Struthio camelus: one gene and its partners. The main gene of each other region encodes a partner of the protein of the gene in region 3 in a complex. Links are inferred from orthologs where the notes say so. Each region holds a gene or a part of one and is shown on either strand. Other genes may lie near its edges. The genes, in order: TERT, GAR1, WRAP53 and NHP2.

Evidence for each region.
Region 1: WRAP53 (region 3) and TERT share a complex: the UniProt entries of both Homo sapiens proteins name them as parts of the telomerase holoenzyme complex. The link is inferred for Struthio camelus from reciprocal best matches to the Homo sapiens genes WRAP53 and TERT.
Region 2: WRAP53 (region 3) and GAR1 share a complex: the UniProt entries of both Homo sapiens proteins name them as parts of the telomerase holoenzyme complex. The link is inferred for Struthio camelus from reciprocal best matches to the Homo sapiens genes WRAP53 and GAR1.
Region 4: WRAP53 (region 3) and NHP2 share a complex: the UniProt entries of both Homo sapiens proteins name them as parts of the telomerase holoenzyme complex. The link is inferred for Struthio camelus from reciprocal best matches to the Homo sapiens genes WRAP53 and NHP2.

The regions. Positions count from the first base shown.
Region 1 is NC_090943.1:71,164,728-71,171,964, forward strand, and holds the start of TERT (telomerase reverse transcriptase), read right to left. Parts: upstream 3,013-7,237; 5' UTR 2,656-3,012; coding exon 2,428-2,655; intron 1,161-2,427; coding exon 1-1,160. UniProt on the Homo sapiens protein: Telomerase is a ribonucleoprotein enzyme essential for the replication of chromosome termini in most eukaryotes. Active in progenitor and cancer cells. Inactive, or very low activity, in normal somatic cells.
Region 2 is NC_090945.1:24,424,723-24,432,128, forward strand, and holds the start of GAR1 (H/ACA ribonucleoprotein complex subunit 1), read right to left. Parts: upstream 3,009-7,406; 5' UTR 2,682-3,008; intron 1-2,681. Other genes in the region: PLA2G12A (group XIIA secretory phospholipase A2), read left to right, coding at 3,213-3,435, 4,296-4,372, 4,962-5,127, 6,162-6,280. UniProt on the Homo sapiens protein: Required for ribosome biogenesis and telomere maintenance. Part of the H/ACA small nucleolar ribonucleoprotein (H/ACA snoRNP) complex, which catalyzes pseudouridylation of rRNA.
Region 3 is NW_027182724.1:72,231-79,873, forward strand, and holds the start of WRAP53 (telomerase Cajal body protein 1), read right to left. Parts: upstream 3,018-7,643; 5' UTR 2,983-3,017; coding exon 2,961-2,982; intron 2,640-2,960; coding exon 2,576-2,639; intron 1,734-2,575; coding exon 1,635-1,733; intron 1,028-1,634; coding exon 919-1,027; intron 193-918; coding exon 104-192; intron 1-103. Other genes in the region: uncharacterized protein, read right to left, coding at 4,674-4,783, 6,917-7,055. UniProt on the Homo sapiens protein: RNA chaperone that plays a key role in telomere maintenance and RNA localization to Cajal bodies. Specifically recognizes and binds the Cajal body box (CAB box) present in both small Cajal body RNAs (scaRNAs) and telomerase RNA template component (TERC).
Region 4 is NC_090954.1:9,665,308-9,672,289, reverse strand, and holds NHP2 (H/ACA ribonucleoprotein complex subunit 2), read right to left. Parts: upstream 2,921-6,982; 5' UTR 2,871-2,920; coding exon 2,720-2,870; intron 1,824-2,719; coding exon 1,754-1,823; intron 1,679-1,753; coding exon 1,573-1,678; intron 800-1,572; coding exon 674-799; 3' UTR 504-673; downstream 1-503. Other genes in the region: BRD8 (bromodomain-containing protein 8), read right to left, coding at 4,070-4,082, 4,213-4,443, 5,173-5,241, 5,674-5,760, 6,322-6,467. UniProt on the Homo sapiens protein: Required for ribosome biogenesis and telomere maintenance. Part of the H/ACA small nucleolar ribonucleoprotein (H/ACA snoRNP) complex, which catalyzes pseudouridylation of rRNA.

The DNA of each region.
Region 1 (7,237 bases), on a different chromosome or scaffold from region 3:
AGAAGAGACTTCCTCTCAATGTATACTCCAGAACGCAAGATTGTATTTGGCAATTTCTTTCCCAAAAGATCTACGGGACTTTCCAGCCTTCTGTATTTTGAAGAAATACCTTCCCTTGGTTTCATTTGTACAGAATCCACCTGAGATTTATACATATGCATCTCTATGCCCTTTCTATTTGATTCTGCTTGCATTTCCATGTTGGACTTAACAGGTCTGTTACTTTGAACTCCTTGCAGAAACGCACTCTCATCTGCGACAGCTTTCTCCTTCCCATCATAAGATTTGCGAAGTAAAGAAGGGCCAGGCATATCACTGTCACTTCCTCTAGCAGCGTACTTTTCTTCAGTAAGATTTACAGAATGTGATGCGATGTACTCAGTTCCATACCTCGTGGAACTACTTTGGTTTATGCCAGGACTGTGATTCCAAGCCTCTTTCTCTGGTGTTTCCTCCTCTACTTTTGCTCTCTTAGCTGTAATTTTAAGTTGTTCCCTATCAAGCTTCCTTTTCAAGGACAGGGCTGTAGCTGATGAAGATAAACCTGGGCTAATCTGATTTTCCAGATGTTCAGTTACCATTCTGATCTGTTTGCTTGCTTTAAAATCATCTTTAGACGAATATGCCAAACTGGATCCTAAGCTTTGTATTTTGTTATTTTTTTGATTTCCCTTGCTGGAGACTTGAACTGCAAGTCTTCGTTTACATTTCCACCAGTGAGATTTTGAAAGATACTCTTTATGAAACATAAGCCTCTTTTGCATATAGTCAAACAAGATATTACGTCTATGCTTTGAATATCTTTGTTTAACAAACACTGGAGACGATTCTACATTATTTGAAATAAGTTCATAAATGGGTTGCCCACAAACTTGATAGCAACTACTAGGGGGAACCAGCATAAAGATTGCACAGTGTTCTAATAAATACATCATCACATCATCCCCTATCCTGCTCAGTAATGTTTCCCATAGGCCACTGATACGAAGAGTTTCTGTTGCGGTATTGGGTAGGTAGCTGCATATATTTGAAGACGGCATGATTCGGAAGTGAGAACTGTTTTCATCCAGTAAGGAATATCCATACGCAAGGATATTCTTCTTTCTTTTTTCACATAGCCTCTGAATAACTCTTGTGATGACTTCACTCTGACTAGATAACTGAAGAAAGAAAGAAAAAAGGAGAATTACTTTTTATGGACTCTTCCAAACGCCACAACATACCCTTTAAATGAACAGACATGCAACATACAGAGTTCTAGCCTTGAGCTTTAGATTAAAGCTTTTCAAAGCAATATTAATGAGGCAACAGTGCCCTATTAGAAAAAAGATTTTCAAACATATCACAGGATTAAAAAAATAAAATCATCAACCAGAGACTATGACTTTAGGGAAGTCTTTTTAACTTCTGCTCCTTTGATCCTGGTTTTCATGCCAAGGGAACACCCTATGCTACTCCTCTCATCTTTCTCAGCAGTCCAGACTCCAAGGCTTTCAGGTCACTCTGCCCCACGCTACGCACATGCGCAGACCATACCACAGCAGGGATCTAACACTGCCTTTCTGGGGACCTCCAAGTGCTAATGTAAAATAAACAACTTCTAGTGAGTATTTCAGCTCACGTTTTTAAAAAATACTCCATAAGCTTGCAACATTCGTTTTGTGCAGTAGCACAACTTTGCTCAGGCGCACAATAGCTCCAAGAGAAACTCGTCTTATTCCTCTTGGAAGAGTTTTTTCTGCTTAAAAAAGGATTGGAAAATAATTCTTTCTCTCTTCTTCTCTATCCTCTAACAGAGGTAAAATGGTGTTTTTTCATTTCTAATTGCTCCCCAGACATTTTGGAGGGGGAAGGGGTGTTAAATGCTTCCCCACAGACCAAGCACAAAGTCAGGGAGTCCCAGACACACAAATCTTTCGGCTTATCTAACCACGGGCCAGCAGACACTAAGATTTTGCCCGTTCACCCCCTAGAGGGAGGGGAAAGGGGGATAAGCCCCACGCAGGCTAGAGAAAAATTTAACTTCCATAAACCAAACTTCATTCTGAGGCGAAGAAGAGCAAGGGGACCAAAGGAGACGACCAAGCGAGCAGGCGCAGCCAGGAGGCAGAGCCACGAGGAGACAAGCGTGGCCGCCCGCTGCGCACACACACGCATGGAGGACAGGAAAAGCATGACGAGCCGCGGCACCGCGGAGGGCGGCAGCCCCAGGAGCCCTCTCCCGCGGCCGCACGCCAGCGAGGCGGCAGGCAGCGACGGGGGGCAACGGCCACCAACGGCCGGCGCTGACCGTTGGTGCGGGCGAGGCTGCCCGCGCGGGCGGGCGGGCGGCTTCTGCTCGGTGGGGAGGGCTGCAACGCAGGTGCCGCTGCGCAAGCGGGCAACGGCTGCCTCCCCCTCCCACCCCCCCTCCCCGCGCCCTCCTACCTGCTGGAAGGTGAAGGGCCGCGGGATGGAGCGGGCTCCGCGGGGGACGCACACCACGCACTGCGCCACGAAGGTCCGGTAGCACGGGGCGTCGTCGGCCCGCAGCACCTCGGCCTCGCCGGCGCCGCTGTCCCGCAGCCGCTGGATGAAGGTCTCCAGCGGGGCGGTCTCGGCGTAGCAGCCCCGCAGGGCGGCCAGCGCCGCCGCGAACGGCCCCGCGCCCGCCATGTTGTGGCGATGGAGCACGCCGCCACCTGAGGCGGCCCCGCGCCTTCCTCCCTCACCTCCTCCCCCGTCGCGCTTACGCTTCAGCCGCTGGCTGAAGCACTGCAGGAAGCTGTGAGGGGCTGTTGCTTCTTTAAAAAAAAAAAAAACCTTATTGCTAAAAAAAAAACCAACCCAAAAAGCAAAAAAAAAAAAAACCGCGCTCGCACAAACACCCCGCAGCTGCTGCGGCCAGGTGCCGCAGGCCCCCCGCGCGGCCTCCGAGGCTGCGCAGAGGTGATGGGCGGCGGGCCGGGCCGGGCCGGGCGGGAGGCCGCTGTCCAGCCCCGCAGCTCCTCACCTCCTCCAGCGCCGTCTAGTGACCCGAGGAAGGCGGGCTGGGGTGAGGGGGCCAAGGCACCTCCTGGGGCTGAGAGTGAGCCACGAGGAGGGCCGAGTGCGCGGAAGGCGCAAGCCCGCGGGATGGGGGGATGCTTTCACGCCATGGTTGCTCTCCTTCTGGGCCATAAACTCGTGTTATCGCACTCATTTTCCCCCTTGTGAGACCGAGAGTCCTTAAAGACTCGTGCAGTTTCCAAAGTAGCAGAAGTTGGTGCAGAAAGCAGGAAGCAAGGGCCTATGGTTAAAGGTGCATTGTGAGGTGGAGCACTAGCACCAGTTACCTCAAACTCGTGGCATGACTTTTGACCAGGCATTTAGGCTTTTATTTTCGGACAGCTTTGTAGCATCTGGCTAATTCGTGCTGTGCGTTTCCAGGTTGCCTGGGATAGCCTGAAATACTGTCACGAGAGGTGCTGAAGAAAGTTTTGAGAGAGTCTTGCTGGTTTACTAAGGTAAGTTTCCCATGGAAGAAATGAGGAAGATTCCCATCACAGAATCCCTTTTAGGATGGGGACACAGTAGACGATCTATCTGAAATTAAGTAACTGTAGAAGAGGTTATGGTGCAGATGAGCAGAGTAAATCCTAACACATAACCAACTTGCTGGTCCTGGGAGTCTTATCAAATTCAGGAATGAAGCAGCCAAATCACTAGTAAGTAGTGTTGTTCTTACTCAAACATTTCCTTGATACCTGAAGACTGCATGCTGGCAAATTTGATGCCAGACTTTTAAAAAGGGTTTGAATGGGGTTCTGGGGAACTACAGGCCTGTAAACCTGATGGTTTTTTGGGGTAAATTAGTAGAAATAATAACAGAACATAAAATTACTAGATGCTGGGAGAAATACAAGCTGCTCAGTCAACATGGCTTCTGCAAAAAGAAGTTCTGCCTTAAAAACCTCCTGGGGTTCTATGGATGCTTGAGAAGACATGAAGATTATGATAATATAGTTGATATAGTCTGCTTGAATTTCCAAAAGCCTTTGTAAGGAAATGTTATGAATAGAAAAATGAAAGAAGGAATGTGCTGATATGGATAAGAAACAAAGGTAGAAATAAATGGTCAGTTCTTTCAATAAGGAAGGCCACCACCAGAGATCCACATTAGTTTGCACTGTATAACTTTCATAAATGACTCAGAAGTATTGTAAGTAATCAGTAAATGGCAAAATTTGCTGATTGGATGAAGTTATCCAAAGCAGCAAGGACACAAGCAGAGTATAAACTTGCAGAAGAACATTATAAGACTGAATGATTGAGCAATTACATGGCAGTTGAAATTTAATGCTGATAAATGTCAAGTGTGGCATAGAGGTGAAATACATTCTTAGTTTCATATATAAAATTATGGGCTCTGGGGTGATTAGTACCACTCAGGATTGAGACCCTGAGGTTATAACAGTTCCATGAAAAAATCAGCTTTATGCGCAGCAGCAGCCAGTAAAACAAGTCAAGTATTAGGAATGATTGGGGAAGGAATAAAGAACAGCAAGAGGACATCATTATGCCATTGCATAAATCCATGGTTTGCGACAGCTTGAGTGCGGTTGTGCGATTCTGGCCTCTACTTCTCAGAAAAGATGTACTAGAGTTAGAAAGGGCTCAGGGACCAAAAGTATGGAACAGCTTCTATATGAGCCATGAGAAGGTAGGCTGGAAAGGGGAAGAGGGATAACTTGGTGAGGAAGGTTAAATGCTGCATGCCACAATCCATCTCCTGAAGCAGTTGGATATGTGACCAAAGGTGCCCTGAGCCCAGCGGTCTTCCAGGAGCTGGAGTTCATCACGCTTCTCTCAAAACGTGCTGCAAAGGGATAGAATGCCAAGATCCTTTTCACCTCCGACTCTCCTGCTCCAGCTACTCTGTCATACCGATCCCTGCCATGCAAAAGAGACTCTGGGACTCTGACTGCCAAGACACGTCTGCTGTTAAAGCTATGCTCTTGGCCCAGTGGGCTGTAGGTGTTAATATTAACAACTGCTCCCTCCACATGGACAGAGATGGGTAGCAGGCCACGTGGCACAAGTTCAGCAAATCCCAAATCAGCCCCTTTGAGCAAAGGTCTAGGCAGGACAGAGTCAGCAGTCTACCAGATACATTAGTGACGTGAGGTGACTGTCTTCTAGTTAGGCTTCCTGGCTGGATTGCTGTGAAATCTCCTGCAGCAACATGATAGTGTTCTCCCCTTCCCAAAGACTGAAGAGTACCTGGCCCTTATGAGGACTCACCTGGCAGCTCCCAGTGTGGAGAAGGTTGTTTCATTAGGTGTTTCATTAGGTGAAGTTAGTGGCCCTGTGGCCAGGGACAGTGCTGCCCCTGATACGGGTGGTGCTACACAGCAAATAGTTCTCACCAATGGCAGGGATAGGGGTGTAGAAACTGTGGCCCTGCTGAGACAGGACAGTGTACCTTCCTCTCCTTCAGTGAGGACCGCAAAGACCTCAGAGTGAGGTCAGCATCCCCCTGCTCTTCGAGGACTGGCTGTACCTTCTTTCTAAAGCATTAAATCTCTTACAGGCAGCAAAGCAGCTCTTCCCTGTTCATCATCCTGGCTGAGGTGTCCACTCCTTCTTAGCACCTTTATAGCCTTTAGATTGAGGCATTTCTGTGTCACTCCTTGTTCAGCACTGCCTGCATGCCACGGACTGCCATGCATCCCTGATGCAGATAGGCACCAGATGGGTACCCCCAAAGGAGGGAGAGTGATAATACTAGAAGGCTTCAAAGGACCTCAGCAATGCTGTAATGGAGAGGTTGCACAGACACTGCAGACTTGGGCAAGGGGACAGAAGTTGGCCATGGCTGTATCAGTAGCTGCACTCAGGCAGGAGTATAGTTGATATCCATGATCTGACCTCTGGTGGGTATGTACTCCCCTCTCCCCCACCCCCAGATACTCCAGAGGTGATGATACCCTCAAGGTACAACCCAAGGATGATGTCTAATGCAGGCGGGCATGTGGCAGATAAGCGAGTCACCATTTCCTCTGAGGAACATGCTCAGGAAGAGAGGAGGAGGAACAGGAAGGGGTGTTGAGTGTATCCCCAGATCAAGGGCCGGTGGCAAGGACAAGGAGTCATAAATCTTGAAAACAGCAACCAGACCCCTGACTGCACCAAAAGATTCCTCCCCAGCAGCCAGGGGGATGATACTGGAGAAACCAAGGGCATGATGGTGAGGGAGACCGTCTGTGAGGTGTTGATCTGTAGGTCTTGTTGAAGAGGTGGACAGTGGTCTAGGTCTTTCCACCAGTGGGACTTTCTTAGAGGGTGCAACCCTAGCACCAATGCACAAGGAAGTAATGGGATTTTGGTGATAGTGGAGGATGAACCCAAAGCTGAGGACGTGCTGGTTGCAGGTGAGGTTGTAACTACTTGACTGTGTGCTCTGGGGGTGGTACATCCATGTCCCCAAAGCTGGTGATATGCTCATGGCAGATAGTTGGGTTGCAGGTGCTGCTGTAGGCCGAATTTCTGAGGAGGGCTTTTAGTTGTCGTTTTCCTGGACCCTTTCTGCCAGCTGGTGGTAGGTTCCAAAGTAGGTCCTTACCGGTGCGTCTTGCTGATGCCTTCTTGGCAACAACCACATCAAGGGTGTGAGGAGAGAAGAGGACTGCTGTGGCCAGGCTAAGGGGATCTCTTTATTCCTGTTTCTTTTCATAGGCACTACCCTGTTTTTCTGTGTGCCTACCACTAGGCTGGGGAGAGAATCCAGGAGGGAGAGGGGGAATGAAGTGTCATAGAAAAGGGGATAAGTTGATTTTTAGGAGGCTGAATAAAGAAAAGAATAGAATAACAGAAACAGCTGTTCTGTAGCTGACACTGGAAAGAGCCTCTGGAGATCTCTAATCCAACCCCCCTGCTCAAAGCAGGGTCGACTAGAGCCAGTTGCTCAGGACCTCATCCAGTTGAGTTTTGAATATCTCCAAGAATGGAGGCTCCACAACCTCTGTAGGCAACTTGTTCCAGTGTTTGACCACCCTCAGAGTGAAAAATATTTTTATGTTTAGTTGGAATTTCCTGCATTTTAATTTGTGCCCACTGCATCTTGTCCTGTCACTGGACACCACTGAGAAGAATTAGGATCTGTCTTCTTTACATCAGGCATTTATACATTTTTGACAAGGTCTCCCTGAGCATTTCCTTATCAAGGCTGAACAATCCCAGCTTCCTCAGCATCTCCTCATATGTCAGATGCTCCGGT
Region 2 (7,406 bases), on a different chromosome or scaffold from region 3:
CTAAATAATAAGTGTCTTTACTATAAAGTTCTCTGTGCCTATATAGTTCTGGTACTTCAACAAACGCAAGTAGGGTTTTATGGCATATAAGTGTATCTATAAATATATATCAAATAAATATAAATATATAAAAATAAAGTATATAGATGATACTTAAGTACCTAATTAAAATTCTACAAAAACAAGTTACAGATTTTAGGTTAAAAAGGAACACTGTCAGTCATAAAACAACAGATTCTCAGATTAGCAAGAGCTTCTTACACCAATATGCAAAACCATGAAACAGTAGTGCTAAGAAAGAATACCATCCTTACAAGGGCCTGACCCTGCACAGTAAAGCTAGGGGGAGTTTTGCCACTGCTCGAACTGATACAGAACCGGACAAACACAAGGGACCACCAACAAAAAGGAAGCATGAAGCAGAAAGTCCTTCTGCTTTCACCGACCCTTATGTTAAAGATTGTTAAGTTCTGCCCACATCACTGTCAGGAAGCCTGTACTGGAGCAGGGCCCAAAGGACCACTGCATAATCTGCATATTTTTAAACAAAAGTGCTAGTGCCCAGTATAAGAAAATGTCAATCTCTGTAGAAACAGGCTCACATCTGGCAAGACTAATGCATACAAGGAATTATGCAACAGGCCCTGAGTCAGCTAGAAGACAGGCTAGTGTATACATACACCTGTGCTTTTAGAAGTGCCAGAATTTTTGGACTGGTAATCTCAACACAAAACTGGCAAATGACTTCAGAACTATCTCAGTCAGTTCCATGAAACTGCTAGGTAATTTTATAATATACTTCACTTGATACTAATTTATAAATGTTTTTAATATATAATTTAATTTATTCCTCTCAATTAATTATCCTGTTAAATGATACATGTTCACACAATATGATTTTTTTTTTTTTTAATAATTCACCACTGTCTGCTCTGGACTGCACTGTTACATTTTCATTGATTTATTTTTTACTTCTTCCACTGTACGGACCCTTCCAATTATCAGTAATGAAAGTAAGGGTATGAACCGCTTCCCTTATCCTGCCGACAACGGTCCCTATTTAGAAAAATATTTAAACATATTCCTGCAAAAGAACTACTTTCCTGAATCAGGGTCTTTGTAGAGTAATAGTAGGGGAAAGCTAGTTTTGCAGGACAAGCGTATGAAGAGCTCCCTCTTTTGTTTGATTTAATTAACTTCTGCCAAAAACTTTTTCCATCTATTTCTTCAGTAGCTGTAAATAATATTAAGTGCTGAGGCTGAAAAGAAAAATCAACAGAATATTTGTCACGTGTCTTTCTGCCCTGCCTCTTGGTCTGGGAGTCATTCAGTTTTCTTTGCATTTCCTGCTCTTCTTTACAGTTTGCCCTGAAAACCCAGTATTACTATGCTCTGAGGGATTTCATACATCTTAAAATAATGCTTTCTTCACAAAAATTAAAACAATTCCTACATGGTTCCACTTTAGCTCATCTAAGAAACATCTGGAATTTAAATATAAAATTAATACATATAAAAAATATCTAGAATGTTTTGCAAACGAGTTCATTTTGGCCTGATTTTTCTTCAGCAAAAGACAGCTGGATTTTTAATGTTTAATAGATAGATTTCAATTTTGCCCTCTTTTACAACACCAACTTGCGCATCTGCTGGTGTTCCCTGAAAATGAATCACTCCTATGTATAAAAGGTCACAGGATCACTTTCACACTTCACAGCATCATAAAATTATTTAAAATTTTAGAACATTCAAAATACATAGTCTTTGTTGCACATGTATCTCTAAATGAGTACGTTTTCCTAAAAGTAATGTTTTTCTAGCGCTTATTAACACAAAGTTATTTCCCTGACTGTACAGAAGGAAAAGGGAATGTGGCTTTGAGCACACTGCTCACAGGGGACAGTGTTTGTTCAGAGCAACCAGGCTTAGGAAGCCTTGATAGGGCCGGAACAAACCTGCTCGTCCTCCCATTCAAACCAATGGCACAACCTCGGAATGGCAGGCTAGAAAATCAGCTTTTTTCAGATGTTTTTCCCCCCCCTCCCAAAATAAGCTTTTTTTTTTTTTTCCAAAAACTATTGCTGTGTCTTTCACGTTTAGCAATGCCAGGATTGCCCTTTCTAACACAGTCACCAAGGTTTTCTGAAATAAGTGTCCTGAGGTTTTGTACGCTGCAATAGTATTGGTAACCTGAGCAGGCCCTGCTCAGCCAGCGCCACCATGTCCTGTGCTATTGGCAGCCAACAGCGCTCCTGTTGCATACCTGGTTTTGAACAAGCTCTCCTGGAACGGGCACTGTGACCTGCTAGAGCCTTTCTCCAGTGGAAACGACCTGTGTTGCAACTGGCTAGGTGCTAAGGCACATTTTGCAACGTCCCATCTTGCCATCCTACCAATTGTTTTCGCTACAGAGAGGACGGGCTCCGCAGTTGTTATCACTTTTTTCCTCTTGAGGAAATCATTATGATTTTCATCTCTCTAACCCTCTCTGTAGTCCTCTCTCGAAATACGGGACTGTCAGTAGGAACACAGAGAAGGGTGTTTCTGCTCTGCTTAAATGGCTCCTTGAGGGAGGACTACCCGCCACAGACCCCCCAAGTCGAGCAGCGAGGCGCGCCAGGCACAACGCACAGACACGCTCGCGCCCTCACCAGGGGTTTCTACCTGCGCTGCAGACTTACTTTAAAACACGACTGTCCTTTCCTCCAGAGGAGGAACCGGGAAACGCCTCCAGCAGGCTCCAGCCCTCCCGCCCGGCCGGTGACGGGCCGCCTCAGCACCTGCGGCGGGGGAGGGGAGAGGGCGGGCAGGATTTCTCAAAATGGAAAACCAGGAGGCGCTTCGTACCTCACTGGCAACGCCCACACGTTTCAGAAGCGAGGCCGTGGCCCGAAAAAACAAAAAAAAACAAAAAAAAACAACAAAAAAAACCCCCTGGCCTTTACCCAAACCCACCCAGCCGGGGCAGCCGCGGGTGGGTGCGCCTCGCCCTGTCAGGGTCCGTTGGAGCCGTTAGGGCCGTTGGAGGGCGGGGCAAGGCGGGGCGGCGGAAGGCCGGCCCCGGCGGGTGGGCGCGGGGCGGGATGGCGGCGGCGGCGGCGAGCCGGGCCGGGGCGGCGCGGCGCTGCGGGAGCGGGCGGGCGGCGGCGGGGGCCTAGCGAGCGCCCGGCGGGCGCCGCTCGCCGTGGGACGTGGGACGTGGGGCGTGGGGCATGGCCCGTGCCCTGCTGCTGCTGCTGCTGCTGCTGCTGGCCTGCGCCTGGCTGAGCCCGCGGCCGCCGGCGGCGCGGGGCCAGGAGCCGCCGCAGACGCCCGACTGGCGCATGACCCTGAAGACCATCCGCAACGGCGTGCACAAGATCGACGTGTACCTCAACGCGGCCCTCGACCTGCTGGGCGGCGAGGACGGCCTCTGCCAGTACAAGTGCGGCGACGGTGAGGCGGGGCGCCGGCTGGGCGCGGCCGGCAGCCCCAACCCCGCGGCGACCGTTGCCCTGCGGCGGCCGCCCGGCGCGGGATGCTGCGGAAGGGGCTCGCGGCGGCGGCGGCGGCGGGGCAGAGCCGCCGGGCTTGCGCTTGGCTCTGCGCGGCGCTGTTTCCGCGGCTGGCGGGGCGTTTCAGGGTGGCGTCCGCCTGGCTGCGGAAGGCTCGGCCGCGACGCGCTAGCCCTTTTCCTGCCTCCACGGGAACAGGCAGTTCTCACACCTGTTTTCCCTTCTCTCTTACTTTTACTCGTGGCCTCGGTTTGTGCCCAGGACCAACATAAGGTGAAGGGTCGTTTTCTTAAACTGACTCCACGGTTTTCCGTGACCTGAGATGTGAAGTCTTTCTGTGCTACTGCGTGTTCAGGGAGGCATGACTTTGGCAGTATCTCCTCATTTAAATTTTATTGTAGCATATTCTACGTACGCTTGTACAAATAAAAAAAAACAACAATTCTAGGCTTCATTCTAGTTTCCAAAGCTTAAAGTGAAGAAAAATCACAGTAGTATTGTTGATGGCATACACAGCGTAGAGAACTCGATGGTAGGTTCATTAATACTTCAGAGAACTTGCCTGTTCTTTAATGATTTCCTGCATATCACGCGCTTAACTGGTATATCAATCTTATTAACTCGGGCTCTTCTTTTGAACTTGTTACTTGGTGAGAACTGCTGATATTCAGATGCCTGAACATAGGTTTAGTTCAAAAATACGGCGGATACTGTCATAAGCCCACCAAACACCTCAGTTTGACAGGACTAAGCTTCTGCGCAAATAAATCTATTTGAGGAATTATAAATTCCCTTTTTCAGGATCAAAGCCCTTTGCCCGCTATGGATATAAACCCTCACCACCAAATGGTTGTGGATCTCCTCTGTTTGGAGTTCAGGTAAGCCTATTTGTTCTTTGGGTTTTTTTTTTTTTTTCCTGTATGTGGTCTTTCATACATCGACTTTCCTCAGTGCAGGAGTTCTTTTCCTCCCTCATCCTGAAGATGAGGACAGCATCCACGTGCAGTGTTCCCACTTCTGTTAGCTCCAGCACATGCTTTGGTAATGTCACATGGAGAATGTTAAGATGATAAACAAATGTAGCAGAAATATTTTCATCAGTGACCTAAAATATTATAGGGATAAAACAGAGCGTTGATTAATTTCTAATCTTATGGTAAAAATGTTTTATTTTCCTGAATATTTTCAAAAGCATTGGGTAACCCTAACAGTAGCCCTCGGTTTGTGCAAGTGGAGGGTTTGACTGACTTTTATTCTCCCTGCTGACACTAATCCATTTTCCTTAATACTAGAGAGAAAATATTGATTAACTTGTTAGAGGTGAACAGCAAATCATAGAGATAAATGAATGACAGCTGAATTGATTGTATTATTAGTTTTTAATTTCTAACTTTCATATTTGTAGTATTCGTAGACTGTATTTTTCCTAGCTGGAATACCAATGGTGGTGGGGGATTTTCTTTGCAGTTTGACATTGGTATCCCTTCGATGACGAAGTGCTGCAATCAGCATGACAGATGCTACGATACTTGTGGCAATAAAAAAAATGATTGTGATGAGCAGTTTCAGTCCTGCCTCTCCAAAATCTGCAGAGATGTACAGAAAACACTTGGAATATCGGAAAGTGTACAAGGTAAGTCTGAAAAACATGTTTTTCTTCCGAAGTTTGACTGGCAAGGAGCCTTTGTGCTATACAGTAATGCCACGTTTTCATAAGCTGATGCTGTTGCTGAGAGAGGCAATCCTAGCCTTGTTCTCTCCCTCTCTCATGCAGCATTTGTATAGCCGAGCAATGATACAATGTAAGAAAGGGATCAGGATTAAAACTAACCCTGAGGAAAAAATTAATGCTCCCCTTCTGGGTATATGAAGACAGGAATAGGACTTCATACAAATGTGTGTGTAATAATTGTTGTATTTTCTGTGTTATAGTCAAGTATTTTTGTTCTACTGGATGAATTCTAAATGTATACTACATGTGATTGCTAGTAAACTGCAGAAAAATATTGAATTGTTTCCTTCTATGAAGTAACGATCTTAGAATACTATATGGTTAGAGTGCAAGCACTTAATGCTGTCCTTCAGCGCATAAATTTTAGCCCATAGCATGTTCCTTCTGATTGTCGGCCCGCATCTTGATCAGTACATTATATAACCTTGCTTTTTAAACTTGGACAATGGCACTCTTACAGTAAGTAGTTCCATTGAACGGTCAGTTTTTAGAACAAACCTGTGTTGGCACCTCTCAAATGCACGTGACTGCCAAGAAGTCATATTGTTAGTGGTTTGTGTCGGAAGCAGTGAATATTTGTTCAGTTCTGTTGAGCTGCTGTTAAAGATAGCAAGCTTGTCATAAATTGAGTTGCAAGAAGTGAGGGGTAAAGCAGCTCTTTCATCTTCCCAAGATTAAGCGATGTTTCTAACACTGATAACAATCCACTTGCAATGAATTTGCTTGCTTATTTTATTTTGGTTGGAATATGAAACATCATTAGTCACAAAATAAATGATTCTGCACTGGTTCAGTCTTTTGTTTGATGGTCTCCTTGCTATGACCAGAGAGGATCGTTTCTTTCTTAAAATCTCTTTCAGTTTGCTAGAGTCATTTCTATTAGTCTCATATTCCATTTAAAGAGTATTCCTAACTAAACTCCTCTTTTCTTGCAGCTTGTGAATCAACAGTTCAGCTGTTGTTTGATGCAGTTATACATTTAGGATGTAAACCCTACCTGGACAGCCAGAGAGCTGCATGCATGTGTCAGTATGAGGATAAAACAGATCTCTAAAGGAAGATAAGAGAGCTCATGGTATGGAATAAAGTAAAAGACTCAACTGGAATGAGGCCAGTGTTCAGTAACAAAGCTTTAGACTTTTCCGAAGGTAATATATTAAACACTGATACGAATATACTGGTTTGAAAGCCACTACGATACTCTTCTTAAAGTTTAAAACAAAAAATCAAGCCTTCCTTCTCTTCCCCCCCGCAAACCCCATGGGCTTGGAAACTGAAATTTGTTTCCTTTGGCATGTGTCTGTAAGCTCAGGGTGTGCTATTGTAAGACACTAGTATCTTTTTTACTTTAAAAAAAACTTTAAAAAAACCTTTAAAGAACTGCATAATAGGGAAATCAGAGGTGCAGAAGAGCCGTATTGAATTCTCAGATATTCTTTTAATGTAGGTCAAATTTTAGGTTACTAGAGTTGATGCATCTGATGGCTCCAACAAGAAAGACTGTTTTGTGTGAGTTTAATATGGCATCTTAAATATCCTGTACTTTCATGCGTTTGGTAGAATCTCACGGGGATAAACTGACTTCATTTCTCTCTGATGTATGCTCTTCTGTGTGAAAAAACACCAGAACAGGCCCTTAAAAAGAGCATACACCTGCACTATAGTTCTACCTGATCATATATCAAACTCACTTCTGCAGCACTTTTCAGATCAAACATGTTGATCCTTTTAAGGCTTGACCACTGAAATGAACAGTTTGCAACCTAAGGATATACTTTTGATTTGACAAAATGCTGAAATGTAGTTGCAATATTATGTTATTTTAAAAATTAATCTTAAGTGTTTATTTTTCAAATAAAACATTTTGGTGCTGTATGCGTAGATACGATATATTTGTTTCTTCAAACAGGTTGATTTATATTTGTCTAGTGGTACAACTTGGTGAATATATTATCTTTGCTTTCCTTCTGTTGGAAACTAGAAGCAAGTTCCATAGCTGTAGTCAGTGTGCCTAACAGAACCTTTTTATTTAAAATGCCCTCTGTGAGGCTGACAAACATTTGATCCTGTACTTCTGTCATCCGTTCCCTCTGTGACTTCTCTAACTGAAATCATACGATGTCTGAATTATTTTGGGTTTGTTCTCTGTACTGGTATTTCATTTCTTATCTCCAATTGTC
Region 3 (7,643 bases):
CGCACTCCCCACGCCACCCCCACCAGTGCTTCCAGTGCCCCCCCAGGGCTCCCAGTAACCACCAGTGGGCTCCCCCAGTGCTCCCAGTGCCCCCAGTGCTCACAGGCAGGAGGGGGGCCGGGCCGAGCTCATCCCCGGCAGCCAGCAGTAGTCGTAGACGGTGTCGCCCTCCGGCACCCGCAGCGCCGGCACCTGCGCCCGGACGCCTGGGTCCCTCGCCCGGCCCCCCCCCCCCCCACGGCCCCCAGGGACCCCCCAGAGGCCCACGGGACCCCCCCAAACAACCCCCGGGACCCCAAAACACCCCCCAAACACCCCAGAGACCCCCCAACACCCCTGTGACCCTCCCCAGACACCCCCGGGACCCCCCAAACATCCCCCAAATACCCCAGAGACGCCCAAATACCCCCAGGACCCCCCCCAAACACCCCCCAAACACCCCAGAGACCCCCCCCAACACCCCTGTGACCCCCCCAGACACCCCCAGGACCCCCCAAACATCCCCCAAATACCCCAGAGACCCCCAAATACCCCCAGGACCCCCCAAACACACCCCAAACACCCCCAAACACCCCCAGGACCCCCCAAACATCCCCCAAATACCCCCCAAATACCCCCTTGGACTCCCCCCAAACGCCTTGGGACCCCCCCCCAACGCCCCAGACCCCCAAATACCTCCTGGGACCCCCCCAAACACCCCAGAGACCCCCCCAACACCCCTGGGACCCCCCCCAACACCCCAGACCCCCCCAAATACCCCAAAATACCCCCCCAACACCCCTGGGACCCCCCCCACATCCTTGGGACCCCCCCAAACACCCCTAAATACCCCCTGGGCCCCCCCCGTTGCCCCCAGGACCCCCCAGAGTCCCCCCCAAGGACCCACAAAGACCCCCCGGACCCCCCCCGGACGGGTACCAGTTCGGGCAGGGCCCCCCCCGGGCCCCCCCCCAGGGCGGGCGGCAGGTCGTAGATGCGCAGGGTGTTGTCGTTGCTGCACGTCAGCAGGCAGGAGCCGTCGGGGGCCCTGCGGGGCCCAGGCGTCCGGGCGGGCTCGCGGCACCCCTCCAGCTCCCCCCCACAACCCCCAGGGGCCCAGGCGTCCGGGCGGGCTCGCAGCACCCCTCCAGCCCCCCCCCACAACCCCCAGGGGCCCAGGCGTCCGGGCGGGCTCGCGGCACCCCTCCAGCCCCCCCCCACACCCCCCAGGGGCCCAGGCGTCCGGGCGGGCTCGCGGCACCCCTCCAGCCCCCCCCACACCCCCCAGGGGCCCAGGCGTCCGGGCGGGCTCGCGGCACCCCTCCACCCCCCCCCAGGGGCCCAGGCGTCCGGGCGGGCTCGGGGAACCTCTCCAGCCCCCCCCACACCCCCCAGGGGCCCAGGTGTCCGGGAGGGCTCCCTCCAGCCCCCCCACACCCCCCAGGGGCCCAGGCGTCCGGGAGGGCTCTCTCCAGCCCCCCCACACCCCCCAGGGGCCCAGGCGTCCGGGAGGGCTCTCTCCAGCCCCCCCACACCCCCCAGGGGCCCAGGCGTCCGGGCGGGCTCGGGGAACCCCTCCAGCCCCCACGAGGGGCCCAGGCGTCCCCGGCCGCGCCCCCCCCCGCCCCCACGAGGGGCCCAGGCGTCCGGCTCACCACTTGCAGCCCTTGAGGAAGTTCTCGGGCCGGCGGCCGTACTCCTGCCGCGCCTCCGCCACCAGCCGCGGCGGGCGCTGCAGCTCCGCGGGGGGCGGCCTGCGGGGCCCAGGCGTCCGGGACCCCCCCAACACCGAGGGCCCAGGTGTCCGGGACCCCCCTCAACCATCCCCGGGGGCCCAGGCGTCCGGGACCCCACACACACACCCTCAGGGGGCCCAGGCGTCCGGGACCCCCCCCACACACACACAACCTCAGGGGGCCCAGGCGTCCGGGACCCCCCCCTACACCGAGGGGCCAGGTGTCCGGGACCCCCCTCAACCCTCCCCGGGGGCCCAGGCGTCCGGGACCCCCCCCCCACACGCACCCCCAGGGGGCCCAGGCGTCCGGGACCCCCCCCCACACGCACCCCCAGGGGGCCCAGGCGTCCGGGACCCCCCCACACACACACCCTCAGGGGGCCCAGGCGTCCGGGACCCCACCCACACACACACCCCCAGGGGGCCCAGGCGTCCGGGACCCCCCCCACACACACCCTCAGGGGGCCCAGGCGTCCGGGACCCCCCCCCCCACACACCCTCAGGGGGCCCAGGCGTCCGGGACCCCCCCCACACACACACCCTCAGGGGGCCCAGGCGTCCGGGACCCCCCCCCCCACACACACCCTCAGGGGGCCCAGGCGTCCGGGACCCCACCCACACACACACCCCCAGGGGGCCCAGGCGTCCGGGACCCCCCCCACACACACCCTCAGGGGGCCCAGGCGTCCGGGACCCCCCCCCCCACACCCCCAGGGGGCCCAGGCGTCCGGGACCCCACCCACACACACACCCCCAGGGGGCCCAGGCGTCCGGGACCCCCCCCCCACACACACAGGGGGCCCAGGTGTCCGGGACCCCCTCACACCCCCCCCAGGGGGCCCAGGCGTCCGGGGCACTCACAGCTCCTCCTCGGGCTCCTGGGGCTCCGCGGGGCCCCCCCCCTCGGCGGGGGGGTTGTCGGAGGCTGCGGGGGGGGGGGTCAGTATGGCTACGGGCCCAGGCGTCCGGGAACCCCCCCTCTCCCCCACCGAGGGCCCAGGCGTCCGGGACCCCCCCCCCTCCACCGAGGGCCCAGGCGTCCGGGACCCCCCGCCTCCACCGGGGGCCCAGGCGTCCGGGACCCCCTCACACCCTCCCCAGGGGGCCCAGGCGTCCGGGACCCCCCCCCTCCACCGGGGGCCCAGGCGTCCGGGACCCCCCTCCCCCCCACCGAGGGCCCAGGCGTCCGGGACCCCCCTCCCCCCCACCAGGGGCCCAGGAGTCCGGAATCCCCCCCCACACACACCTTCCTCCATGGGGGCCGCCATGACAGCCGAGGCCCCGCCCCTCCCGGCAGGCACCGCGCGCGAATCTCGCGAGAGCGGAGCGGCCTCGGGCGCGTTTATTGGCTGAGAATCTCGCGAGACGTCGCGCCCCCTCCCCCCCTCGCCCCGCCGCGCGGCTCGATGACGTCACGCGCCGGCGCTCGCGAGAGTTTCGGCGAAGTCTCGCGAGGTTTCGTTGCTTGGCTGCAGCTTGGTGCGGGGTTGGGGGGGGCCCAGGCGTCCGGGGAGTGACGCCCCCCCCACCCACCCACACAGACAACAGGGGGGCCCAGGCGTCCGGGGAGCGACCCCCCCCCCACCCACCCACACAGACAACAGGGGGGCCCAGGCGTCCGGGGAGCGACCCCCCCCCCACCCACCCACACAGACAACAGGGGGGCCCAGGCGTCCGGGGGGCTCAGGCGTCCGGGGAGTGACCCCCCCCACCCACCCACACAGACAACGGAGGGGCCCAGGTGTCCGGGGGGCCCAGGCGTCCGGGGAGCGACCCCCCCCCCACCAATACACACAGACAATGGGGGGGCCCAGGCGTCCGGGGAGTGACGCCCCCCCCCACCCACCCACACAGACAACGGGGGGCCCAGGCGTCCGGGGGGCCCAGGCGTCCGGGGAGCGATCCCCCCCCCACAGACAACAGGGGGGCCCAGGCGTCCGGGGGGCCCAGGCGTCCAGGGAGCGACCCCCCCCTACAGACAACAGGGGGGCCCAGGCGTCCGGGGGGCCCAGGCGTCCAGGGAGCGACCCCCCCCCACAGACAACAGGGGGGCCCAGGCGTTCGGGGGGCCCAGGCGTCCGGGGAGCGACTCCCCCCCCACCCACCCCCACAGACAACAGGGGGGCCCAGGTGTCCGGGGGGCCCAGGCGTCCGGGGAGCGACACCCCCCCCAACCCCCACACACAGGCAATGGGGGGCCCAGGCGTCCGGGTGGGGGAAGATGGTGGAGCAGTGATGGGGGGTCGCCATGGTGCCCGGACGCCAGGGCCCCTCGTTGCTGCCCGGACGCCGGGGCCCCTCATGCCCGGACGCTGGGACCCCTCATTCCCCGGACGCCGGGGCCCCTGTGCTGCCCGGACGCCGGGGCCCCTCGTGGCCGGACGCTGGGGCCCTTGTGCTGCCCGGACGCCGGGGCCCCTGTGCTGCCCGGACGCCGGGGCCCGTCGTGGCCGGACGCCGGGGCCCCTGTGCTGCCCGGACGCCGGGGCCCGTCGTGGCCGGACGCCGGGGCCCCTGTGCTGCCCGGACGCCGGGGCCCGTCGTGGCCGGACGCCGGGGCCCCTGTGCTGCCCGGACGCCGGGGCCCCTCGTGGCCGGACGCCGGGGCCCTATGCTGCCCGGACGCCGGGGCCCCTGTGCTGCCCGGACGCCGGGGCCCCTCATGCCCGGATGCCGGGACCCCTCATTCCCCGGACGCCGGGGCCCCTCGTGGCCGGACGCCGGGGCCCCTGTGCTGCCCGGACGCCGGGGCCCCTCGTGGCCGGACGCCGGGGCCCTGTGCTGCCCGGACGCCGGGGCCCCTCGTGGCTGGACGCCGGGGCCCCTGTGCTGCCCGGACGCCGGGGCCCTGTGCTGCCCGGACGCCGGGGCCCCTCGTGGCTGGACGCCGGGGCCCCTGTGCTGCCCGGACGCCGGGGCCCCTGTGCTGCCCGGACGCCGGGGCCCCGGGCCGCCGGCGCTAGAGGCGGACGATGCCCAGGAAGGTGCCGTGGGCGCTGAGGTCGAAGGAGGCGTTGGCCCGCGGCACCCGCAGGCGCAGGCGGTCGCCGCTGCGCAGCCGGAACACGCCTGCAACACGCCACGCACACGCCACGCCACGCACACGCCACGCGCACGCCATGCGCACGCCACGCGCACGCCATGCACACGCCACGCGCACGCCACGCACACGCCACGCACACGCCACGCACACGCCACGCACACGCCACGCGCACGCCACGCACATGCCACGCACACACCACGCGCACGCCACGCACACGCCATGCACACGCCACGCGCACGCCACGCACACGCCATGCACACGCCACGCGCACGCCACGCGCACACCACGTGCACGCCACGCACACGCCACGCGCACGCCACGCACACGCCATGCACACGCCACGCGCACGCCACGCGCACACCACGCACACGCCACGCACACGCCACGCGCACGCCACGCACACGCCATGCACACGCCACGCGCACGCCACGCGCACACCACGTGCACGCCACGCACACACCACGCGCACGCCACGCGCACACCACGCGCACGCCACGCACACGCCACGCACACACCACGCGCACGCCACGCACACACCACGCACACGCCACGCGCACGCCACGCGCACGCCACGCCACGCCACGCACACACCACGCACACGCCATGCACACGCCACGCACACGCCATGCACACGCCACGCGCACGCCACGCACACGCCACGCACACGCCACGCACACGCCATTTGCACGCCACGCACACGCCACGCACACGCCACACACACGCCATGCACACGCCATTCGCACGCCACGCACACGCCACGCACACGCCACGCGCACGCCACGCACACGCCACGCGCACGCCATGCACACGCCACGCACACGCCACGCACACGCCACGCACACGCCATGCACACGCCACGCGCACGCCATGCACACGCCACACACACGCCATTCGCACGCCACGCACACGCCACGCACACGCCATGCACACGCCACGCGCACGCCACGCACACGCCACGCACACGCCACGCGCACGCCATGCACACGCCACGCGCACGCCATGCACACACCACGTGCACGCCACGCACACGCCACGCACACGCCACGCACACGCCACGCGCACGCCACGTGCACGCCACGCGCACGCCACGCCACGCCATGCACACGCCACGCGCACGCCACGCACACGCCACGCACACGCCATGCACACGCCACGCGCACGCCACGTGCATGCCACGCGCACGCCACGCACACGCCATGCACACGCCATGCACACGCCACGCACACGCCACGCACACGCCACGCGCACACCACGCACACGCCACGCGCACGCCACGCACACGCCACGCACACGCCACGCGCACACCACGCACACGCCATGCACACGCCACGCACACGCCATGCACACGCCATGCACACGCCACGCACATGCCATGCACACGCCACGCGCACGCCATGCACACGCCACGCGCACGCCACATGCACGCCACGCGCACGCCATGCACACGCCACGCCATGCCACATGCACACCACGCGCACGCCATGCACACGCCATGCGCACGCCATGCACACGCCACAGGGACACGGGGGAGACATAGGACGGGGGGGGGGACACATGGTTAGGGGTGATCTCTGCCCCCTCCCCAGTGCCCCCCAGTGCTCCCAGTGCTCCCAGTGCCCCCAGCCCCCCCAGTGCCCCCAGTGCCCTCCAGCCCCCCCAGCCCCCCCAGTCCCCCCAGTGCTCCCAGTGCTCCCAGCGCCCCCCCAGTCCCCCCCAGTTCCCCCCAGTTTCCCCAGTGCCCCCAGTCCCCCCAGTGCCCCCAACCCCCCCCAGCCCCCCCAGTGCTCCCAGTGCTCCCAGCGCCCCCCCAGTCCCCCCCAGTTCCCCCCAGTTTCCCCAGTGCCCCCAGTCCCCCCAGCCCCCCCAACCCCCCCAACCCCCCCAGTGCTCCCAGTCCCCCCAGTGCCCCCCATCCCCCCATCCCCCCATCCCCCCCAGCCCCACCATCGCCCCCAGCCCCCCCAGTGCCCCCCAGTGCCCCCATCCCCCCCAGTGCCCCCCAGTGCCCCCATCCCCCCCATTGCCCCCCAGTGCTCCCAGTCCCCCCCAGCCCCCCCAGTGCTCCCAGTCCCCCCCAGTCCCCCCCAGCCCCCCCAGTGCTCCCAGTCCCTCCCAGTCCCCCCCAGTGCCCCCCAGTGCCCCCCGCGCCGGGGGGGTACCGGCGGTGTAGCAGGAGGCCTGGGCGCGGGGGGGGGCGGCCATGCTGCGCACGCAGCGGAGCAGCGCCTGGGGGGGCCCCGGGCGGCCGCCCCGCTCCAGCACCTGCCCCATGGCGAAGGTGGCGTCCGTGAACAGCACCTGCCCCCCCGGGCCCCCCCGCGTCAGGGCGGCACACGCGTGTGCACACGCACGCACACGCACGCACACGCACGCACGCGCACGCACACGCACGCACACGCATGCACACGCCTGCACCCGCTCCAGCACCTGCCCCATGGCGAAGGTGGCGTCCGTGAAGAGCACCTGCCCCCCCGGGCCCCCCCGCGTCAGGGCGGCACACGCGTGTGCACACGCTCGCACACGCCCGCACACGCACACACACGCATGCACAGACATGCACACGCCTGCACCTGCCCCATGGCGAAGGTGGCGTCCGTGAAGAGCACCTGCCCCCCCGGGCCCCCCCGCGTCAGGGCGGCACACGCGTGTGCACACGCACGCACACGCACGCACACGCCTGCACACGCACGCACACGCACGCACACGCACGCACACGCATGCACACGCCTGCACCTGCCCCATGGCGAAGGTGGCGTCCGTGAAGAGCACCTGCCCCCCCGGGCCCCCCCGCGCGTCAGGGCCGGCACATGCGTGTGCACACGCACGCACACGCCTGCACACGCACGCACACGCCCGCACACGCCTGCACCCGCTCCAGCACCTGCC
Region 4 (6,982 bases), on a different chromosome or scaffold from region 3:
CCCCCCCCAACTCCAGAATGGTATAACCCAGCCAGGCCCCCTCCACTAGGGGAAAAAAGCTCATGCTCCCCCCCCCCTCGCACAATGGTCTAATCCTAGCCCCCGCCCTCCCCTAGGAGCTAGCTCATACCCCCTCCTTGAGAATGGTTTAATCCAGCCCCCCAGAATGGCTCCCGCTAGCGACGCCTACATAGGCGCCCCCCCCTCCCCCCCCGTCCAGGAAATGGTTTCTCCCGCCCCCCCCCCAAGCGCTCAGCGCCCCCTGGCGGGGCGGCGGCGGCAGCGCTGCCCCCGTCCCGGCCCCTCCCGGGGGTCGCGGCCCCTCCCGGGGGTCGCGGCCCCTCCCGGGGGTCGCGGCCCCTCCCGGGGGTCGCGGCCCCTCCCGGGGGTCGCGGCCCCTCCCGGGGGTCGCGGCCCCTCCCGGGGGTCGCGGCCCCACACTTGCTCCCTACGAGGCTCTTCACTGCCCTCCCCCGCCAAACAAAGCACACCGACCCACCTACTACAAACCCCTCAGATGCCTTTATTTGCCCCCCGCCCCAGCACTCCCCACGCCGCCCGCTCGGCCGCGTGGTTACAAACCCCGCGCTGGGGCCCGGCCCCGCGAGGAGCCCCCCAGAGCCCGGCACGGCTGCCCCGCGCGCCCACGGGCGCTGCCAGTCCTGGCTGTCCCTCACAGCGGGAGGGGAAGGGCCTCCACCTCCTCCAGGCACTCGTCGTAGGCCTCCTGGTACTCCTCGTGCGGCTTGATCATGATGACGCAGGTCGGGCGCTTCGAGCCGGCGGCAGCTCCCAGGTCCTGCGGGGACAGAGGCTGTGGGCGATGCTGCAGGGCACCGGCCCACCCCGCATGTCCCGCTGTCCTGCCTTTACCCCCTGTCCAACACGGGGCCAGAGGTTCTCCCAGCTTCTCAGGTCCAAACCCCCTTCACTTGTGCTTGCTGTGAGAAGCCTCCCCCAGCTTGTCTGTAGCTCCCGGGGGCAGGATGAAGGGCTGCTGTTTGCCAGAAATGCCTGGGCACCTGGCCTTACGCATCTGTGCTGTCCGTGAGGTGAGCAGGAAGCCAGAGTTTGAAAAAGTCTGAAGGCCTGTACAGGTTTGAAGCCTGTATAGGTGGTAGTGGGTAAAACCCCAAAGGCATCAACTCTCCTAATGCCTACTCTAAAAAAAAAAAAAAAAGGATGTCTAATAAACACAACAACTTAGCTACTGCCTCATTCCTGAAGCCTTCAGGTCACCAGCTCAGAAGCAAGTGGGGAAACCCCCTCCAGGCTCTGCCCTGGTGCAGTCCAGCACCAGTGCTGCCGCCAGAGCTTCTCTACAAGGGGAAAAGATTCTGCAGTTCCACAATAAAACCATCCTAAATCTGAGCTGTGACCCTCCGTTCCTCTCTTGCCCCGAGAACAGACGAGTGCTGGTGCTGGAGTGTCACCAAGGGCCTCCTTTACCCAAAAGCCATATTTGTGCCTGCCCACGTACGGCTGCCTGTCGCAGCATGGTTGGGGCTGCAGCCTGCCAGTTTGCTGCCCCAGGACTCGGGTGCCCCCTGCTCCACAACCTCATCCCCTTACCGATTTGGAGGGGACGTACGCGTAGGGGAGGCTCCTGTCCTCGCACATGATGGGGATGTGGCAGTACACCTCGATGGGCAGCGTGTCGCCAGCCAGCACTGTGATCCTGCATGGGAGAGCCCGCGTCAGCCGCCGCCGCGCCGGGCTGCGCCGGGGGCGGCGGGGCCGGTGGAGCGCTTACCCCTTCTCGCCCTTGTTGATGAACTTCTGCACCTCCTTCACGCCCCGACGGATCTGCTTGTGCTTGGCCGCTGCAAGACAGGCACGACTGTGACTGCGGCTGTGCCGCACTGCCCCGGCCTCGCCTCCCCCCCATCAGGCCACAGCCGGGCCCCTGGCACCCTCCATCACCCTCCCGGACCTCCCGGGGCCCCAGCCGGGCTCCCGACACCCTCCACCACCTCCCCCCGGCACCCTCCATCACCACCCCCCAGCCCCCAGCCGGGCTCCCGACACCCTCCACCACCTCCCCCCGGCACCCTCCATCACCCCCTCCCCCAGGGGCCCTGCTCGGCCCCGACACCCTCCATCACCACCCCCCAGCCCCCGACCAGGCTCCCGACACCCTCCACCATCCCCCCCCCCGACATCCTCTATCAACCCCCTCCCGGGACCCCGGCCCGGCCCCCAACACCCTCCATCATCCCCCCGACCCCCCCAGGGCCCCGGCCTCGCCCCGACACCCTCCATCACCCTCCCGGACCCCCAGGGGCCCCTGCTCGGCCCCGACACCCTCCATCACCCCCTCCCCCAGGGCCCCTGCTCGGCCCCGACACCCTCCATCACCCCCTCCCCCAGGGGCCCTGCTCGGCCCCGACACCCTCCATCACCCTCCCGGACCCCCAGGGGCCCCTGCTCGGCCCCGACACCCTCCATCACCCTCCCGGACCCCCAGGGGCCCCTGCTCGGCCCCGACACCCTCCATCACCCCCTCCCCCAGGGGCCCTGCTCGGCCCCGACACCCTCCATCACCCCCTCCCCCAGGGCCCCTGCTCGGCCCCGACACCCTCCATCACCCCCTCCCCCAGGGGCCCTGCTCGGCCCCGACACCCTCCATCACCCCACCCCGATCTCGACACCCTCCATCACCCCCCGGCCAGGCCCCCGACACCCTCCATCACCCCCTCCCCCGGGGCCCCGGCCCCACCTTTCTTGATGCACTTGTAGAGCTTGCGCGTCAGTTTGCGGGAGGCGAGCGGCTGCGCGATGGGGTTCAGGTTGCCCAGCTGCTCCCGGTACGAGCGCTCCGGGCCGCCCTCCGCCTCCGCCGCCGCCTCGGCCTGCTTCTCGCGCGCCATGGCCGCGCCGCACGCGCCGCCGCTTCCCCTTCCGGGGCCGCCACCAGCGGGACCCGCCTCCGGCCCCCCCCAGCCCGCCAATCGCCGGCGCCCCTGCCCGGCCCGCCCCCCCCAGCCCGCCGGCCAATGGCGAGCGGGCTCCTCTCCCGCCCAGCCGGGGCGCGTTCTGCGGGAATCCCCGGGGAAGCCCTCCCGGGCGGGGCCGCGCAGCCGGGGCTCCCCGGGGTTCCGCCGCCGGCCGGCCGGCCCCCCCACCCCGGGTTCCCCCCCGCTGCCCGCCATCCCTTGCCCGCCATCCCTTGCCCTGGGGATCCCCCCGCCCGCCTCTCCCCGGGGTCCCCCCTGCAGCCCGCCATCCCTTGCCCTGGGGATCTCCCCGCCCACCTCTCCCCGGGGTCCCCCCCCCGGCCCGCCATCCCTTGCCCTGGGGATCCCCCCGCCCGCCTCTCCCCAGGGTCCCCCCTGCAGCCCGGCATCCCTTGCCCTGGGGATCTCCCCGCCCACCTCTCCCCGGGGTCCCCCCCCCGGCCCGCCATCCCTTGCCCTGGGGATCCCCCCGCCCGCCTCTCCCCAGGGTCCCCCCTGCAGCCCGGCATCCCTTGCCCTGGGGATCCCCCTGCCCGCCTCTCCCCGGGGTCCCCCCCGTGGCCCGGCATCCCTTGCCCTAGGGATCCCCCAGCCCGCGTCTCCCCGGCGTCCGCCCTGCAGCCGGGGCTCCTCTACCAGGGGCGCCCCTGTCCGCCCTCCCCTAGAGCTGGGGTGTGGGGGTCCCTCTCCCCACCATGCACAGCACGGGGGTCAAACACAGGCTGGAGCAAAGTTTACTTTACAACATCTGCCTTTACTGGCAAACAACCGCGGCCTCCCAGACGCTGGGATGATGAAGGGCAGGGATGTCACAGGTCTGTGACCAGTCCTCCCCCAGTTGAGGCAGAACAGGAATGTTCAACGCTAAATCTACACCCGAACTTGAACACAGCAGTGCTGTAAACGTACAGTGAAGGCACCTAAATAGCAGAGCTCTTCTGCAGCACCAAAGTTGTATCAGTGAGACATTTTGATAGGGGTGGGCCCAGATTCACCTCAGCTGATAATGAAGATTATTTTCCCCCTTTTTACTCATTGCAGGGATGTGCTGCTTTTCCCACCAAGGACGAAGGTTTCTCTTCCAGCTCACCTCCTAGCAACTGCTTTGTTCTTTATCCCATCAACCTGTCAAGCACCACAAAGGGGTAACTAGGTCTGCCAAAGGCTGCTCTGCCACCAGCCGATCTCAGCCAGGGACAGAGCTAGGGAGACAACGCTGCTCCGAAAGAAACAGGCCTCAGACGTGGTTTGTTACCTTCTCCCCCAGCCCAGCCTGTCCCCAGAGCACAGGAGGGCTTCACCCAGCATTTGCAGCTGCTCCAAGACCTCTTGCTGCATTTCCACAGCCATGCGGTGTACGTGGTGGGTCACGCTGTTGTACATCACTGCGTTCTGGAACATGAGCATGAGGTCACGCTGGAACTGGGCACTGGTTTGAATGTGGCCCTTCGACAAGTTTCTCTTTATGCTGGTTAAATCCATGGGTCTACAAAAAACAAGCCAGAGCCAGGCATTCTTCAGGCTCTAAATGAACTTGCTTATTTTTTTTTCAGCGCGCAGCTATATTCAATCAATTTTATTGCTCATGACAGAGGGGGAGAGTGAGAAATGTTTGTCTTCTAAGTCAGACAAAAATAAGTTTAGCCAATGCGACACTTGCCATCCAATCAACTTCGCAAGCCACTAGCAATTACATCTGAAAAAAGTTTGATGTTGAGCTCCAGAGAATGCAAGCAGAGCGAGTCTAGTAATTAGTCTTTGTGAAGTGAGCCCAGGTCTTAGTGGAGAAAGAAAAGGAAGATACTAAAATAGGTATCTATTAAAACCCCCTAAAATCGAATGGTGCCACTACCAAAAATAGCAGTGCTGGCAAGTGGAACATGATGGAGAATAAATATGACTTCTCTTATTTTGACAGAAAAAGAAAATGAATGGCTGCAGAGAGGACAACTGTGACCAGAATAGAATATGATTCAGCTCTGAAAAATACCCTTAATCTATCTGGGAAATATTCTTACAATCCACTTCTCCACTGAAAGTAAAACATCTGGGCAGAGAGCAATGGGCAAAAGAGGGCTTTGACTGAGGCACCTTTTCCCAGCTACATGGGGAGTAAGAGAGTGTCGGGCTGCAGAGGCAAGTCTCCTACTCAGGCAGGGGCAGAGCTGCAATAGTGACAGAAATCAGCTAGAGAAGACTTATTCCACAAACTCACCTCTTCACCACATCCTTGTAGCCAGGGGCTTGTTTGTCTGACACTGCCTTCAGGAACGGGCCACTGTATCTACAGGGGCAAGCACAACAAATGACCTCTGTATGTCTCCAAGCGGAGGGCTGAAGGCAACATTGCGACATGGACCTATGCTTGCCTCTCCCTGCTAGCCATGAGCCTATTAGCAACACTCAAAACTTCAGTGGCTGGCACAGCCAGGCACAGGAGGAGGCTGAACCTCTTGCTGAACCTGGCTGCAGCAGGAAGCAGCAACTGGGCTCCTGAATGCACAGCAGCTGCCACGTTAACCAGAGGAAGTAAATATGCAGAGTCTTCTCTCCAGCCTTGCAGCACACAGCTGTCCCTGCTGCAACGACAGGGGGAGAGAGGCCAGCCTGCAATGGCAATCCTAAAGGGGAGGAGAGGGCCTAGTGACAGGGGGGTTGGAACTCAGGACAGCATGCACAGGAGCCAGGCCAAGCCCAACCCCTCATCCCCACACACCTGTGACTGGCTATCATCTTCCAGATGGACAGAAGAGTCCTCTTGAAGAGCAAACGTTGCAGGGGGTTATCCCAGCTCAGCTGCACCCTGCAGAGGGAATATACTGTCAGGTCATCACGCTCAAGACAAATGACGGGACATTTCCTTTGCTAGGGCCCAACGCATCCCCTTGGACAAAGCTCACCGATCCTTTGGTGTAGCTACATAAAGCATCATGGGGTGAGATGGTGGAAGCATGTTGCATCAGAATTCAGGACTTACTACCCAAGACACAGGAAGACGGAGGCCAATAGATAGAAACAATAGCCAGGCTGAACAGCTCTAAAGAGCAGGATCAAGCTGTCGGGTTTTTCATTTGGTTTCTCATCCCAAGAAACCACCTTTTTCCTTCAAAAGTCAGCCCAGGTAAGCCCAGTGGCAGAGCCTACATGTGACATGCATACATCTGCCTAAAGGGGGCTACCAGTTTCTCTCACCCCAAAACACTAGCAGTCCCACAGAGATAGCACAAGTTACCTCTTCCCTCCTGTTCTCCTTGGATATCTCACCTTTCTCAAGGTGACTTATGCCATATACTTGCTCTCATGTAGGCCCAAGGAAACAGCTCTGCTCTGCTGCCCCTGCAAGAGGGCAGACTGAACTACTTACAGCTGTGTGGAGGCAGGAGTTGTGGACCCCAGGGGGGAGGCTGCAGAAGTGCTCTCTCTATCATCTTGATGCAGGGGCTGATTGCTCTTCTCTTGCGGACACAGCTCGCCTGCAGCTTGTTCCCCAGATGCCTCTTGAGCCTCGTCCTGAGGAACAGAGAGGAAAAATGAGAGACAGCTGAAATGGCAGCCCATCCCCTGGAATCCTTTATCTAGAAGCCAGCCTGCTGTACATTCCCTAACTGTAGCCAGCCTCGGATAGGAGCTGGCACTTTCTGTCCTATTCTGGAGGATGATGTTTGACCTAAGCTATTCACATCTTCATCATGCTGCCCAGGACTTTAGTAACACCTGGGTCTGATCTCTCAGATCATAACCACCTCTAGCTAGTTCAAAGGACTGTGGTGCTGACTGGTCCCCAGTGTTGTGTCAGTCTTCTTGTCTGCAGAGAGTTATGGATGAAGAGGTAAGACTGCCTTGAGACACAGACAAAAGGAACCTCTAGAACCCAACAGGGTTGTTTCCTCACAGACTCCCACACTGACCATGATAGAGAACAGATTCAGCCAGCAAAGAAACTGGTGCTGTTGACGCAGTGATTTACCAGTACAGGGTGAAAGATGCAGGAAGAGAGGATTTTTTTGGAGTCCAGAAGTGGAATT